2 linked regions of the Danio rerio genome follow. The protein of the gene in region 1 interacts with the protein of each later gene in a biochemical or structural test. Links are inferred from orthologs where the notes say so. Each region holds a gene or a part of one and is shown on either strand. Other genes may lie near its edges.

Region 1 (4,510 bases):
TATAGTAACACAACAACTATAGTCATTAATATGTTGTGGCGATTCTACGGTTGCTATAGTAACACAACAACTATAGTCGTTATTATGTTTTGCTGATTCTATAGTCGCTATGGTAACAGAACACCTATGGTCAATAATATGTTGTGGTGATTCTACAGTTGCTATAGTAACACAACAACTATAGTCAATATTATGTTTTGCTGATTCTATAGTCGCTATGGTAACAGAACAACTATGGTAATTAATATGTTGTGGTGATTCTACAGTTGCTATGGTAACACAACTAATGTCAATATCTTGTGTTGGTTCTACAGTTGCTATGGTAACACATTTGACATGCTACGACGAAGTGCTATGCAGGTAAACCTCACTCCTCTGTCCTCAAAAGGTGCTCTAGCGACAGACGCTAGAGGCCAGCATCTTTAGCCTCCTTGTTAGAGCAACCGACTCTAATACAAGGAATCAACAGTTCGATCTCAGCTCAGACCAGGTGGGTGCAGTAGGATCGGTGGGTTACATGTGGGGGCTCGTCTGGGATGGGAGTGAGGTTTAGAGGTGTGAGTGTGACAGGCCAGCTAGCGAAATGCTATGCAGGTAAACTTCACTGCTCTGACCTCTGTAACCGGTGGGTTACACAATAACTATAGTTATTAATATATTGTGGTGATTTTATAGTTGCTATGGTAACGCAACAACTAGTAATATAAACAAACAACCCAATACTGTAGTTTTCCACAACTAGAATATATACTCCAACACACCACTGTTCACAGTAGTAAAATTGAAGGTATACTACAGCATTTATTATCAGTTCACTATAGTTAATGCTGCAGTATGCTGGAGCATTCATTAAGAGTTGTAGATACTATAATATATACAGTATAATACACTCTACTGTAGTGGCCTATGGTACAAAAACACTGCAGTGTTGTGTAATGTTTCAATAGCGCCATCTGCAGGCCACAAATATGATAACAGCTAAAGTATTGATCTATAAAATACGATTATTACATACACAACTATGACAAAATATAGGGGACATGACTGACCACTGAATAATTCTGCGTTTTTCTGGATGTGCTATATCTATTTTTGAGTAAAATTTGTTAATTGTATGTTTGTAAATGTATGTTTTTCTTTTTTAAAGGTCTGAAAACGTGTATTATTAATTTCAAATAAATAACATTGTCAGTTAAATATAGTTTCTTTTCCCAGAGAATTGCAATCAGGGTTATCGCACCAAATAAAATGAAATATTGAGTTCTTAACTGTTTTGGAGTTAAAACATCAGTAGCTTGCTGTTTAAAGATGAATATAAACGTCTATAAAGTTACATGATTTGGTCATTTTGACTAATGGTCTTTATAATGTAACGTATTTAACAGCATTTTATATATTTGGGAAAAATCAATAATACTTATCAATATAACTACAGAATATCTGAAAGCTTGCTCTTTACTTACCGTAACAGTATAAAATGAACTTGACAGTCATGAGGGTTTGCATATTAGTTTATTTATTAGTATGTGTTTATCTGAGTTTATTATTGTTTCATCTGGTGGGCGAGTAATATTTTGATCAGGCACGTTTGGGGCTCCACATTCAGGGGTCCTCATATCGAAAAGTATCAACCGCCGTCATTTACAGTTTAAACTTATGAATATTAGAACAAACACATGAGGTAAGCTCGATATTTGATATTAAACACATCTGTTTTTACATGAGTTGCAGAAAAGTATTCTGTTTAAGTCATTTCTGCTGTTCACGCGACAAGCGTGCTCATGCTTAATTTACGAGCGGACTTACGGGAGCTAACGGCTAAAGCTAATCCAAACACTCGGTTAAAACATCAAATCGCTACGGTAAAATGGTTAGAATTGGGCTTTAAATGAGCTGCTTATCAGCAAGTGACTTTCTATTGAGATGTCAGAGGCAGGTAATGTAAATATTGTTTGTTTTTGTGGGTTTTATTATGCAGCTGTTGCTGTTTGTTTTCATGTCGTGGGTTGGTCTGTTTGTTTGTTGATAGGCGTTATTATATCACACACTGCGCACGGCATCCGCAGCTGAGATCAAGAGGTGCATGAGTTCATTTCTATGAATTTTGCACTCTGAAAGAACTGAAATCCTGGATGTGAGCCGTTGATGTTTCTGATATACCCTCAAGGTATTCAGTTCTGCTCATGAAAATGCATCTTCATGAGGAGTTTAGTGTTCGTGCGTCATTATCTGATCTCACTCACACCTAAAGCCTGATATTGAGGTACAGTTGGTTATACGTTACCACATTTAGACTTTCTCAACATAATTTCAGAAAATGCTAAATAGGGAAATCATATTAGTAGACAATGTACATTGTTCCCAGTCAATATGCAAGTCATACTTGCATGTTATTTTTGACCCAATTTTCAAAGTAGTGTGGTAAACCTTATACAGATCATGTCACAAGTTGTCACTGTTCAAAAATAAACAAATGTGCGAATATTAAAACAGCTCAATCCTGATGTTGAAGTAAAGTTTGTTTTATATTTGCTCCTTTGGACTTTCTCCCTATTAATAAGAGTTAAAGTACTAGTAAAATATCTCCTTGATGTGTCAGAAGTATTCTTTGCTAATTCTAAATCACGCAGCATCCCCAGCTGAGTTAAAGGTACCTGAGTTTGTTTTGTGTTAGTTTTGCGTGCTGGAAGAACTGAAAGCAGCAGTTCTCCTGAATATGAGCTGTTGATGTTCTTGAAGTAACCAGAAGGTGTTCATTTCTGCTCATGAACAGGCATCTTCATGCAGAGTTTAGTGTTAATGCGTGATTATATAATTTTACACACGCCTGAAGCTTGATATTAAGGTAAAGTTAGTTTTACATTCCCACATTAGGAGTTTCTCTTTGATATAATTCCAGAAAAGTATTCTTATCAGTCAATGCCTGTAAAAGTACAGCATTGTTCACTGTTGATTAAATAGTGCTAAAGTTGTTTTGAACTCATACTTGCATTGTATTTCAGCCTGAATATCTAAAAGTAACTTGGTAAACAATACTGAGATCATGTCACAAGTTTTCACTGTTCCAAAATGAACGAATGTGCGAATATGAAAACAGCTCCATCCTGATGCTGAAGTAAAGTTGGTTTTATATTCTCACATGTGGACTTTCTCCTTAATGATGTGTTAAAGTTGTAGTAAAATATCTCTTTAATATGAAAAAATTATTCTTTGCTAAATCTAAATCAGGAAATCATATTACAGCCAATGCTTATCAAAGTACAGCATTGTTCACAGTCAGTTAAATAGTGCTGATGTTGTTTTGAACTCATACTTAATTTGAAGAGGGAATAGTTCTTAACCCGTGTGTGTGTGTGTGTGTGTGTGTGTGTGTGTATATATATATATATATATATATATATATATATATATATATATATATATATATATATATAAACATATTGTATTATATGGTGTTACTGATCATCATGTTTTCTTTTACGAAATAAAATGCACAGAATACAACAGACAAATACAACATCCCATAATGCACAGTGACTGACATTCACTGTGACTTATTGTATCATAAACACTATTTTCATTGCAAAACTAAATGAAACATGCACAGTAATTTTAAGTGTGATTTTTAAATAGAAATGTTGATTAGCATGAAAATATAAAAGAAAGCTACGTGAACTGGTTTTCAGTGTAAAATCATAAGCAATCTGTCCTTTGCAAAACTCGAATCTCAAAATTATAAGTGCAAAATATTTACATACATACATATATATATATATTTATATATATATATAAATTGTGTATATTGTATACAGAATAGTCGTTTTAAATGCACAATTTGAGTAAAAGTGTCAGCTATATTAAAAGCATGCTTTTGTTTTTACATTGCAAAATATATTAGTGCATTTTATTTAATGCTATTTATTTATAGGCACAATTCAAGGCACTCAAAGACACTTTACAGTATTGAACAAAGCATTTGATACAAGTAAACCATTATTTGATGCATTATTTTAATGCAGATTAGATTTTTGAATTAAAACACAGTTGAATGTTTTGTTTACAATATATTTTAATACACTTTATTTTAAAGTGCAAAATGTTTAGTAAAAATGGATGCACAAGACAGCATTAAACTCTGCATTTCAACATGTGATTTTTAAAAATGTGTAAAATGTACCTTGCAATGCAAAACAGTATGTTGTGCACAATATAATTAACGGAATTTTATTTAATGTGAACTCATTTCAGTTGTTTAAAGTGTTCTACGTTGTTTTTTATTTTGTACTTATTGAATGTTACCAAACTCTTCATTTCAAATAACATATTGACTAAAAATATAACATATTAATGTGTTCCCTTACTGGTAACTTTAATATATCTGAAAGGTTTTGTGATTCAAGATGATATGACCTGTTTTTTTTTTTGTTTGTTTGTTTGTTTTTTGTATTTAGATGCACCTCTTGGATATTTCTTTGTTTAGATGTTGTTAAGCCTCTCATGTTAAATGATA
Region 2 (4,579 bases), on another chromosome or scaffold:
AGATTTTCAAGAAAAAAAATAGCTTAAAAGGGCTAATAATTTTGTCCCTAAAATGGTGTTTAAAAAAATTCAAACTGCTTTTATTCTAGACTAAATAAAAAAAAAACTTTTTCCAGAAGAAAAAATATTATCAGACATACTGAGAAAACTCCCTTGCTCTGTTAAACATAATTTGGAAAATATTTCAAAAAGAAGAAAAAAATTTGAAGGGGGTTGTTAATTCTGACATCAACTGTAATTTACACAATGACGTCAATTCTTGAATACTTCAAAATTATAAATATTAAGAAATCTTTTTTAAGATGCCTTCTTCAATGGTCCCAGCTTTCGCATCTTTCTTCTTTAGCTTTTTCTTGGAAACCTTCTGAAATGGGGCAAATTCTACAACAGCTGGATATTCTTGACCTAAATAAACAGAAGTAAAATAAATGTTATACTAATCTATTATATCATATGTCATAATAAAAAGTAAATATCCTAAAGTTATAGTCAGAAAATATTAGATTCAATGAGGATACATAGAAAAAAAGCAGAAAGCAAATCACCTTTATTGTCAATAAATACATAGCCATCAAAGCGATCTCTGAATATTATGATATCCTCTGGGTTTTTGAAGTTTATGTATGCTCTTGAGAAGAGATGAGGGTATAAGCTGGGGAGAATAAAAATATATCAAATATGCACATGTAAATTACACTGACAGCACTCATGATCATAGTATTTCTATATAAACAAAGTGGACATACCTCTGATCAGCAGGAAAGAACTCAAAATAGTCAAAAGATGGAAGAGGACTCAGATGCTCCTGGAGCTGGTCTTTTGATAGACTGGGTGGCAGTCGGCGGATGACAACCTATATAAAAGAAGAATAAAAGAAGTCTGATAATACTGAAAACAAGCTTATTCAAGTTATTAAAAAATGAAGAAATATTACTATATTATCAATGAACTATAAAGTATTTCATAATGATAATATGGTAATAATAATAATGCATTATTATTATTATTATTATTATTATTTTATTTAACAACAGGACATATGTAACAAATAATTATAATATTTCTGGTTTACAAAACTGACCACTTTTTAAAAATAAAATTATCAAATTTTTAAGATAAAAACAAAAATATTCTTGTTCAGATATGAAAATATCACTGAAACCTTATTAGTTATTAAAAAACAGACAGGCATGTAAGAATTTTTTGTGAGTGTAAAAACTTTTTACATTTTATTCATTTTATGTAGGCCTACTGACCTTCAAAAGCTCTCTCGGAATACAAACTAAGTATATAGTAAACTAAGTATAGCATATACAGTTGAAGTCAAAATTATTAGCCCCCCTTTGAATTTCATTTTCTTTTTTAAATATTTCTCAAATGATTTTTAACAGAGCAAGGAAATTTTTATAGTATGTCTGATAATATTTTTTCTTTTGGAGAAAGTTTTGTTTTATTTCGGCTACAACAAAAGCAGTTTAAAATTTTTTTAAAACCATTTTAAGGTCAAAATGATTAGCCCCTTGAAGCCATATTATTCTTTCGATAGTCTACAGAACAAACTATCATTAAACAATGACTTGCCCAATTACCCTAACTTGCCTAGTTAACCTAATTAACCTAGTTAAGCCTTTAAATGTCACTTTAAGCTGTATAGAAGTGTCTTGAAAAATATCTAGTCAAATATTATTTACTCTCATCATGGCAAAGATAAAATAAATCAGTGATTAGAAATTAGTTATTAAAACTATTATGTTTAAAAATGTGTTGAAAAAAAAATCAGATCTCCGTTAAACAGAAATTGGGGGAAAAATAAACAGGGGTTTATATATATATATATATATATATATATATATATATATATATATATATATATATATATATATATATAATATATATATATATATATATTCTTTTTTTAACCAGGTAAACAAAACCATTGAAATCGAAATCTCATTTACAAGGGTGACCTGACCAAGAGGTCTACAGCTCACAACTAATGGAAAAAAATTAAATAATAATAATTATAATAATAATATTAAAATACTGTTTGATTATTCAGCCATACCACATTACATTATGTTAAAAACACATACACTGAGAAATGGACTGTTGTTGTTTGTTATAAAATTATTTAAGTCAGACTCACTTCGATTAAATTAAAAAGTACATACAAGTAATTACTATTATTACATTAATTTTCGTGTTTTTTCATTTAATAGATATTGTGGAGTTGTGATGTTGATAAAATAACATGCAGAAGAAACTCACTTCCTATGTATGGTGGGAGTCACTTATTTTGTGTTACAAACCTAATTAGTGTTCCAAAGAATTTAGATTAATAAATGGACTAACCCATCTATTTTTACCATATATATATATATATATATATATATATATATATATATATATATATATATATATATATATATATATATATATATATATAGCATGTTCATCTTGACGAGTGTTCATATAGGCCCTGCTATTGATTAATAAAATTCATTTAATCATCATCTGCAATAGACATAAAACAACCAGAACATTATTAAAATTCTGCAAAAGCGTTCTACAAAACAAATCCTTACATAAAAATAAAGAATAATTGTAGAATTACTCATTCACACACGCACAAGCTCAATAGGTTAATCTTAAAAACGTCTATTTTACCACATTGCACCATGGCTACATGCTACTTTCATAACATGTTTAATCAATCCCTAGATTAAACCCATTCAGTGTTAACTGATTGAGTGTAGGAGTGTGTTTGTGTTTATTATGAATGATAGCACCAGGATGTTCGTGTGTATTTGGCAGTCCTGTGGTTTCGCTGTCTGTGGTGCTGAATCCCATTCCCTCCTCCATCATCATCATCATCATCACCATACTCTCCCAGCCCACAGAACTGCGCCACCTTACCTTGCTGAAGATCTCCTTTTTCTCCTCCTTGTGCTTGGGGTTCACAGCGGCGTTGTCCTGACAGTCCCTGAACTGGATTTCGACGCTTCCTCTCTCCCTGCTGCCTGTCCTCTGCTCCTTTTCAGACCTCATATCTCCATTTCGCCCTCTTCGCTGTCCGAAATCCGCTAACTCTCGCGGGAATTCTCAAAATAACGCGAGGCTTGCGCTGTGTTTATTATCTTCTTGTCAGGATTCGTTAAACATTAAAACGAAGAAACAACAAACGTATGGAGCAGTGCTAACAAAAAATAAGTACACACTCTGAATATTATATGGTTATTTGGCCACTATGTATGTGGTTAGTGTTTTTATACAAAAGAAAATAGATAAAGCACAGGGGACTGATGTTGTTAAACATTACAATATTGAACTTTCCCGTATGTTCTCTTCATTTCATCGTTGTGGGCGAGTTATAAAAACAGCAGCCATAACTGTCATCGTTTGCTGCCGTTTGTGTCCTCATATTCGCTGTCGGTGCAGCTCGGTTGAACGGGACCGAACGGGCTCCCGATGCTCGATGTGCTCCATATGTCCGGGCTGCTGGGCTGACTCACGGAGCGCCCGTAACCATCCCGACCAGGAACTGCAGAAAACACGACACCACAAGCTGTCTGCAAACGTAACTACATCCATTTATTTCTCTATCCATTGAACTATCAGTAAATATATGACTCTAATTAGGAGGTCAGCAAAAGTATCATTTGCAAAGTATTATCAAAGACTACAGAATAAAGGGACTTTAGTATTATCCACATATCTATTTATTTAAACAGATGTAGCCTATATCCATCTATTCACCTAAAAAAGTAAAAAGTATATAAATCACAGTACATTTATATAAAGTATTAGACCACCCATAGCAAATGCAAAAGCATTCCAATGTATCTATCAGGTGTCCAACAAAATACAGAAGTATCTGATCTGATTTAATAAACAGGCTAGTCTAAATAGATATCCAGCCATTTATTTGTCTGCAAGTTTTTACTCACCCACCTGTCTTATTGCTAAAGTACCAGTTTATTTATCTAAAATACAGCTACAACATACTGAAAAAAGTTTTCAGACCTTAAGTATTTATTTATTTTACATATATATGCATACATTTCCCCTTTAGGGCGTCACAGTGGCGCAGTGGGTAGCACAATCGCCTCACAGCAAAAAGGTCACTGATACGGGCCTTGGCTAAGTCAATTTGCATTTCTGTGTGGAGTTTGCATGTTCTCCCCGTGTTCACGGGTGCTTCGGTTTTGCCTACAAGTCCAAAAACATGCAGTACAGGTGAATTTGGTAAGCTGAATTGTTCATAGTGTTTGTGCGTGAATGAGTGTGTATGGATGTTTTCCAGTGTTGGGTTGCAGCTGGGAGGGTATCCACTGCATAAAACATATGTTGGATAAGTTGGCGGTTGATTGATTCCGCTGTGGCGACCCTAGATTAACAAAGGCACTAAGCTGAAAATAAAACTAATGAATGAATTTTCCCTTTAATACGAAGGTCTGACATTTTATATCAACCTGTAGTTATTTTCTGCAAATAAACGCTGTATGTGATAATATTTTTATTTGAATCATTTAAAGGCCAGTGATGTTTATAAAATGAAAGATGTATCTATTAACGGCAA

Evidence for each region.
Region 2: the proteins of upf2 (region 1) and upf3a form a complex in vitro, tested with the Homo sapiens proteins (2 studies listed by IntAct, with this or other methods). The link is inferred for Danio rerio from reciprocal best matches to the Homo sapiens genes UPF2 and UPF3A.

What each region holds. Positions count from the first base shown.
Region 1 is NC_133179.1:1,384,417-1,388,926, reverse strand, and holds the start of upf2 (regulator of nonsense transcripts 2), read left to right. Parts: upstream 1-1,598; 5' UTR 1,599-1,676; coding exon 1,677-1,681; exon of another isoform or gene 1,682-1,936; intron 1,937-2,029; exon of another isoform or gene 2,030-2,167; intron 2,168-4,510. UniProt on the Homo sapiens protein: Involved in nonsense-mediated decay (NMD) of mRNAs containing premature stop codons by associating with the nuclear exon junction complex (EJC).
Region 2 is NC_133184.1:36,604,261-36,608,839, forward strand, and holds the start of upf3a (regulator of nonsense transcripts 3A), read right to left. Parts: upstream 3,092-4,579; 5' UTR 3,049-3,091; coding exon 2,917-3,048; intron 854-2,916; coding exon 747-853; intron 653-746; coding exon 546-652; intron 406-545; coding exon 307-405; intron 1-306. UniProt on the Homo sapiens protein: Involved in nonsense-mediated decay (NMD) of mRNAs containing premature stop codons by associating with the nuclear exon junction complex (EJC) and serving as link between the EJC core and NMD machinery.